Linked DNA regions of Oryza sativa Japonica Group. Each later gene encodes a partner of the first gene's protein in a complex. Links are inferred from orthologs where the notes say so. Each region holds a gene or a part of one and is shown in the gene's direction. Other genes may lie near its edges.

What was found. The genes of interacting proteins can lie anywhere in the genome.
Region 2: rps8 (region 1) and 30S ribosomal protein S31, chloroplastic share a complex: the UniProt entries of both Arabidopsis thaliana proteins name them as parts of the 30S ribosomal subunit. The link is inferred for Oryza sativa Japonica Group from reciprocal best matches to the Arabidopsis thaliana genes rps8 and PSRP4.

The regions. Positions count from the first base shown.
Region 1 is NC_001320.1:75,452-79,078, reverse strand, and holds rps8 (ribosomal protein S8), read left to right. Parts: upstream 1-1,970; coding exon 1,971-2,381; downstream 2,382-3,627. Other genes in the region: rpl16 (ribosomal protein L16), read left to right, coding at 949-1,350; rpl14 (ribosomal protein L14), read left to right, coding at 1,460-1,831; infA (translation initiation factor 1), read left to right, coding at 2,518-2,841; rpl36 (ribosomal protein L36), read left to right, coding at 2,953-3,066; rps11 (ribosomal protein S11), read left to right, coding at 3,241-3,627. UniProt on the Arabidopsis thaliana protein: One of the primary rRNA binding proteins, it binds directly to 16S rRNA central domain where it helps coordinate assembly of the platform of the 30S subunit.
Region 2 is NC_089039.1:5,295,373-5,300,013, reverse strand, and holds 30S ribosomal protein S31, chloroplastic, read left to right. Parts: upstream 1-2,484; 5' UTR 2,485-2,530; coding exon 2,531-2,714; intron 2,715-2,932; coding exon 2,933-2,997; intron 2,998-3,081; coding exon 3,082-3,249; 3' UTR 3,250-3,640; downstream 3,641-4,641. Other genes in the region: pseudo histidine-containing phosphotransfer protein 2, read left to right, coding at 719-849, 964-1,032, 1,276-1,347, 1,446-1,518, 1,626-1,676.

The DNA.
Region 1 (3,627 bases):
ATTGTCGAGATCCTAACTAAGAAACAGTCACTATATGAATAAATACATCTATCATAAATGAGTAAATCTATCATATACGTGTAGCAACTGCAATTTTTTCTTTAAAAAAAAATAGGATTCTAAGTTGTGAAGCAAAACTAAAGGGGATGTAGATAAAAGGAAGGATGATAGAAAGAAGGAAGAGAAATAAGAAAGATATAGGATTCAATATGTATGGTCTATGAATTACATCATAAAAAGCAATGTGATAAAGCATCAATATAATAAAAATAACAGAGAATTCGAAATCGTAATTTGATTGAAACAAGAAATACAAATTTCAAGGAATAACAAAGAGCGTCCCGAGTTAATAAAACTGAGAAATTGACTCGGAAAGAAATTTTTTGGAAGCTCCATTGCGAGATTCAAACCTAACCATTAAAGGAGAAGCAGTGGGAACGACAGAACCTATGACTGGATAGGATTTTCTTGAAAAGAATCCCAATACTTCATTGGGTGGGATGGCGGAACAAACCAAAAAAATTGTCTTATTTGATAAGGTTATGAATTAACAAATAAGACAGGAAAGAGTAAATATTCGCCCGCGAAATTTTTATTGAATTAGAATACTTTACCGCGATTCAATAAGAGTAAAATAAAAAAAGGAGATTAAAAAAAAAAAAAAAAAGAATTACATTAAATATAGAATATAGATAAATAAACATACACATCTAGATATATTCTAGATCCTCTTTCTTGACTATATATTTTAGTATTTTAATAAATTCAATATTAAAAACCCTAACCTTTCCTATTAATGTGTATCTATCCGTAATATTTTAGAATATTGTGGAATTAGAGAAATTTGGCACACTTTCTCATTTGATTCGCGAGGAGCTGGATGAGAAGAAACTCTCATGTCCAGTTTTGCAGTAGAGATGGAACTAAGAGAGAACCATCGACTATAACCCCAAAAGAACCAGATTTCGTAAACAACATAGAGGAAGAATGAAGGGAAAATCCTACCGAGGCAATTGTATTTGTTTTGGTAGATATGCTCTTCAAGCACTTGAACCCACTTGGATTACGGCGAGGCAGATAGAAGCAGGACGAAGAGCAATGACACGATATGCACGTCGTGGTGGAAAAATCTGGGTACGTATATTTCCCGACAAACCGGTTACAATAAGACCGACCGAAACACGTATGGGTTCGGGAAAGGGATCCCCCGAATATTGGGTAGCCGTTGTTAAACCAGGTCGAATACTTTATGAAATGGGCGGAGTATCCGAAACTGTAGCTAGACGAGCTATTTCCATAGCTGCCAGCAAAATGCCCATACGAAGTCAATTTCTTCGGTTAGAAATATAACCCCCCAAAAAAAGTAGTATTGAAAATAAAAAACCAGGTTCTTCTTTCTGGAAAGACAATATTTCTTTCATCCTTTTGCATTGAAATAACAAATTGAAATCAAAATAATATGATTCAACCTCAGACCCTTTTAAATGTAGCAGATAACAGTGGAGCTCGAAAATTGATGTGTATTCGAGTCATAGGAGCTGCTAGTAATCAGCGATATGCTCGTATTGGTGATGTTATTGTTGCTGTAATCAAAGACGCAGTGCCCCAAATGCCTCTAGAAAGATCCGAAGTAATTCGAGCTGTAATTGTACGTACATGTAAAGAGTTCAAATGCGAAGACGGTATAATAATACGCTATGACGACAATGCAGCGGTTATCATTGATCAAAAAGGAAATCCAAAAGGAACTCGCGTTTTTGGCGCGATCGCCGAGGAATTGAGAGAATTGAATTTTACTAAAATAGTTTCATTAGCTCCTGAAGTATTATAAATACTAGTAGACAAGATATAGATCAAATAAAAAATTAGTAGATTGTGTTTCACGTATATGCTTTAGAATCCAAAACGAAAAGAAAAAAGAGAACATGTTGATTATAGAAAAATTAGGAGGAACCTAGAATTAGAGTCTTATGGGCAAGGACACTATTGCTGATTTACTAACCTCTATAAGAAACGCGGACATGAATAAAAAAGGAACTGTTCGGGTAGTATCTACAAATATTACCGAAAACATTGTTAAAATACTTCTACGAGAGGGTTTTATTGAAAGTGTTCGGAAACATCAGGAAAGTAACAGATATTTCTTGGTTTCAACTTTGCGACATCAAAAGAGAAAGACTAGAAAGGGAATATATAGAACTAGAACCTTTTTAAAGCGTATCAGCCGACCTGGCTTACGAATTTATGCCAACTATCAAGGAATTCCTAAGGTTTTGGGCGGAATGGGAATTGCTATTCTTTCTACTTCTCGAGGTATAATGACAGATCGAGAAGCTCGACTAAACAGAATTGGGGGAGAAGTCTTATGTTATATATGGTAATCGCCCGCCTATAGCGGTAATCGCCCCACCTATAGTTATAGTACCCAAATTCTATCTTGAACTTCCTATTTTTCAAACAAAAATACAACGTTTTTTTATTTGAAAATAAAAAAAGAAAAATAGGAGAAAAAAAAATATGACAGAAAAGAAAAATAGGAGAGAAAAAAAAAACCCGAGAGAAGCAAAAATTACTTTCGAGGGTTTAGTTATGGAAGCCCTACCCAACGGAATGTTCCGCGTTCGCCTAGAGAATGACACCATCATCCTGGGCTATATTTCAGGAAAGATCCGGTCTAGTTCTATACGAATACTGATGGGGGATAGGGTCAAAATTGAAGTAAGTCGTTATGATTCAAGCAAGGGGCGTATAATTTATAGACTTCCCCATAAGGATTCGAAGCGTACCGAAGACTCGAAGGATACCGAAGATTTGAAGGATACCAAAGATTCAAAGGGTTAGGTTTTTCTTTTTTTTTTCTAGGGTAAAAAATTCAAAGTTCTAAAATTCAAACAAAGAGACTTATTTTTTCCAAAAGAGTAAATTCATAGTTTAAGAAAGGAATACGGAAATATGAAAATAAGAGCTTCTGTTCGTAAAATTTGTACAAAATGTCGACTGATTCGTAGGCGTGGACGAATTAGAGTCATTTGTTCCAATCCGAAGCATAAACAAAGACAGGGGTAATCTTTCGAAAAAAGAACTTGACTTTCTAAAAAGTAAAAAAAAAAGTACCCGCGAAAATGTCCAAATTCCAAATAAAAAAATTCAAGTAAAGGATATATTTTACCCTGAAACGGATATCTTTGTATCTTTTTTTCTTTTTGTTATTTCTAACTCATATTTATGAGATAATAAAATATGACAAAAGCTATACCAAAAATTGGTTCACGTAGGAAAGTACGTATTGGTTTGCGTAGGAATGCGCGTTTTAGTTTACGGAAGAGTGCACGTAGAATAACAAAAGGAGTTATTCATGTTCAAGCTAGTTTCAACAATACTATTATAACTGTTACAGATCCGCAAGGTCGGGTGGTTTTCTGGTCCTCCGCGGGTACTTGTGGATTCAAAAGCTCAAGAAAAGCATCACCCTATGCTGGTCAAAGAACAGCTGTAGATGCTATTCGTACAGTGGGTTTGCAACGAGCAGAAGTTATGGTAAAGGGTGCTGGTAGTGGAAGAGATGCCGCATTACGAGCCATTGCTAAAAGTGGTGTACGATTAAGTTGTATACGCGATGTAACACCT
Region 2 (4,641 bases), on another chromosome or scaffold:
AGCTTATATCATTCATGCACTCTGTTTCAATTGTGAATTTCATTTGCAACAGCATAACTCAGTTTTGTAGTGTAGTCTACTAGTCTGGGATGATGCAATAATGCTCACTTAGCAGTTGGCACCCATCTTATCTTATCTAAAAGTTATACAACTTTCTTTTACATCACATATGCATGCATTATGATAATGAGTTTAAGCAGATCGTCAAGGATGTAATATGCCATAGACAATAGCAAACCACTTTCTTAATTTCCTTTGTACTATTCCATTGAGAATATACAAAAAGTCAGGTCTTTCAACCTTTAGAGAGTAATCATAGAGTAGCATCAATTTGATGATACATTAGTATCTCCTAGGCAAATACTAGATTTCCTTTATACTTAACTAGGGTGAAGCCTACTCCCTCCATCCCATAAAAAACCAACCTAGTACCGGATGCGACACATCCTAGTACTACGAATCTAGACATATATACGTCCAGATTCATAGTACTAGAAAATATCACATCCGGTTCTAGATTCGTTTTTTATGGGACGAAGGGAGTAAGTCACTTGCTGGAACCTGACTTTTTTTTTAATCTTTGACTAATTATATAGATTTACCCTTGTAAATTAGTACACTTATTTGTATTATATGGACTGCACAAAAGTTTTTTTTTTGGTTGTGTATTTCATGCTTCTTTCTTTTGCCTATAATCTACCTCGTGGTTTTCCTGCAGGGTTACCTTGATGAACAGTTTAATCAGCTGGAAGAACTGCAGGATGAATCAAGCCCCAATTTTGTTGAGGAAGTTGCGGCTCTGTTCTTCAAAGATTCATCAAGACTGTTGACAAATATAGAACAAGCAATGTAAGTAATATGTCTGCATCCACGATATGAATAGATAATTGATTTTTTGTACAATGATTACCCATGATTTGAAAGACATGACAATTACATTTACTTCCATTTCTTTTGATGCAGTGATAAATACCCTCAGGATTTCTACAGATTAGATTCTCTTGTGCAACAACTCAAAGGCAGCGGATCCAGGTATAAAACTGGGGCATATGCCCAGAACACAGAGTGAACAATATTCTTTTACAGGTCTCATCAGTGTAAAATCATGTCTTAGGTCTTAAATAACCAATATAAAAACATTCAAACTTAAGAATGCTTATTGATGTGAAATGAACAAATATTATTTGTTAATATGAATGTTCTCACCGAAAGCTTGTCATCTTTGCCTGCTTTATGTGTTCAAAATTCGCTAAAGTTGGCCTGTGTTTGGCGCAGCATTGGTGCACTGAGGATGAAGAATGAGTGCTCTGTGTTCAAAGTAAACTGCAATGACAGGAATCTGGAAGGGTATGCATTTCATTGACTCGTCCAACTTGTTCTTCACATACTATCCAATCATCATGCAATTTCCTCACATGATGTGATGAGGCCATGTTCTCTTTCAGATGCCGCAGGTCTCTTCAGAAGATGAAGAGGGAGCATGCCACTCTGAAGCAGAAGCTGGAATCATATTTTCAGGTATGTTGTACTACATCCTTGTCTCTCTCTCTTTCTGTTTACCTTATTTTCAGCATTGCTACATGGCTAAACAACTTGGTTATCTCCTGTTCCTTCTGCTGATGCAGTTACTGAGGCAAGTTGGTCCCCGTGATTATGCAGTGAGCTCAAGGAAGTAAGAAGAACAGTATGAGTTCCAAGGAAAATAAAGAACATATACATAGCAGCTATCAGTCTCTTGAAAATTCTGTCGCTGAAAAGTTTTTGTGCCAATCAGATACTCATAATGCTTAATGGTGCCTTTTTGTTGTGTTTGGATTGCATCTGTAGCTCCATAATCCATATATACTGTATGAAGTTATGTAAAGCCCTGCTTATGCACACTCTCCTTGCCTGTCTACAAAGTGCCATGAACTTGTGTTATTAGTCAGTAATTGTAGCAGAAAGTGTCATGGTACTAATATGAGCTTTTAATGTTTGAAACTAGTAATATGTAAACTAGTTTTTTGGGTTAATTAATTGCCCAGGTGCCATCATGGAAAACTATTTGTTTGTACTTTGTATACTCAACAAACGCTATAGTCACATTCCCAGAACCAAAGACACTTAAAAACACTGGTTTTTCATCTCTTCCACTAATATTCATAACAGTGTTTGAGCTTTAACCATCAATATCATTTTGAACGTTTCGATTTCTAAAATCTTAAAAACGTTATGGCTAGATTTGTCTTCAGAAGTCCTAAAAATATCATAACTTTGCTATATTCTTCATAAGTTTTATACTAGTAGTAATAATTTAATCATAAAAAAATGATTATCTATAGAAAAAGAAATGAGAGGACAAAAAAAAAAGAAAGAGAAACATCAGAATTGCAGAGGGCCAAGCCAATCATGGGCTTGGTCCATAGGCCCAAGAGACAAAGCCCAATCCATGGGCCTGGGCTTCCCTTTCCCTCCGTTTTATCTACTCCGATGCACGCACAGCTTATCCGATTCCATCCATTCCTCAAGCTCTCACTCCTCTCTCGCTTCCATGGCGCTCCTCGCCGTCCACGCCATGGCCGCGTCCCCGGCCACCTTCCCCTCCTCCCACCACCACGCCGCCGTCTCCTCCTACTGCGCGCTCCCCGCCGCCGCCGCATTCTCCCGCTCCCGCTCTCGCGTCGCCGCCGCCGCCGCCGCCACCCTCTCGGCCCCGCTCACTCCAGTTCTTGAAGGTAACTGACATGCCTACCTAACCTCCCTGTCTCTGTTTTGTTCGTCAATTCGGATTAGTCTGGTGTGAAATTGGCTCGATGATCTTATATGAAACTGCTTTTCAAATCGTATTGCACGAATTCAATTGATACAGCACCAAAACATAGATTGAAACAAAAACCTCGCAGTTTGAACCAATTACGATTCCAACTCAAATTACTCCATTTGGTGTGACCAGTTTACTGCGGGAGAGGGGACAAGAAGACCAAGAGGGGAAAAAGGTTCAACCACTCGTACGGAAATGTGAGTCTCTAGCACAAAAATAAAATTAATAAAAAAATCATATGCTTATTGCTTCCTGTGCTGCTGTTTGCTGCAATTCTTCAGACTTGCCATCTGCTGACTGCTGTTTGCTCATCTCAGGCGAGGCCGCGCAACAAGAAGAAGGGAACTGGCCCTGCACGGCTGTTCGCGCCGCCTGCGCCTCCGAGGAAGGACCAGTTCGACGACGGCGAGGTCACCCCGATCGACATCGACGATGACATCCTGGAATAGGTTGTCTGAATTTCCCCCCTTGAATTATGGTTTACCTTGAGCTTACCTTTTGTCTAGTCTGTACCAAACACTGTTTCTTGAAATTAATTACAGTACATTACATGGTCTCATTCTACATAATGTAGATGCCTATGATTTCTTTCCTTGTAATATATATGAATGGTGCTGCTTAGAGTCATTTTTTATGCATTACCAGCTGAAGCAGAACATAAGTACAGATACAATCACCAAACTTTCATGTTCTTGCTAGAAACCAGGGAAGATGCAGTATCTCTTTTTTTTTTCTTTTCTAGCTGTGTCCCTGAATTCAAGCACCTTTTGACATGCTTCGAATTTGTTGTGATGATCTGGGAAGCAGTTCTTAAGAATCAACTAATAAACCAGTCCATCAGATCGGGTCAGAAATCTGCCCCTTTTTTGTTGTTTTGTCTGTTGACTCTGTTATGCGCTTGAGTTTTGACACAAGAAATTGTTTTGATGATCTGCAAAACATATTCCTTTAAAGCTGGACAACAAACCAGTTCAACTGGTCAGCTTGGTGGTAATTGTATGTTAAAATTCTGTCATTTTTTGTTGTTTCGTCTGCAAGTTTGTTGTGAGCTGCTCCCCCCGCCCACAAGGGTAAGCAACTATCTCGCCCGAAATATACTACAATTTTGGCCCAAACTGGAAGTGTAAACCCTGCTACGCAATGGCTTTAAGAACCCTAAACCCTGAAGCATGTTTTGTTTGCTACCATTTCAAGCCATCACAAATTTTGGTAAGATAACGAACCAAATATGTTCGAGTATCCCTACCTTACCAAAATTTGGTAACGTACGAAACAAACCCGCCATCTGTTCAAAAATTTGGTGAAGTAACAAACCAAACATTTTCCCACAGTCCTAACATTTGATAAGTTCACACCTCTACAGCATATAAAAAATAGAGGGGGATAAATAGAGCAGTTGTCAGTTGTCACTTTTACTCAACTTCTGTTACTGTTATCTCTCCGAACCTAGAGGCAACATCACTTGTCTTCCACTGGACTGAAACCAGGGTCCAGTGTGATGCCAACCTGCTGCAAGGCTGCAACCTATTACAACAACTGAACCTCATGAAACAAGACATTTTGCTTTTCATTTTGATGCATTTTGATTTGAAGAATAAGGTTTTACCCTGATTCTGTTAATGAAACCATCATTTGGATTACAGAGTTTGCAACCAATGCACTAGATTTTTATATTAAGAAATACTAGGGTTCATTCTCATTTTTTTCAATCAACAGGACAACATCCATAGTGGTAACTTGACAAGATGAGACAAACAATGCACAAAACATATATTCTTGAAAAAGGAAAAATAGTAACAATACATACTCGATGTTGCCGTGCAAGTTTCTAGTACTACTTA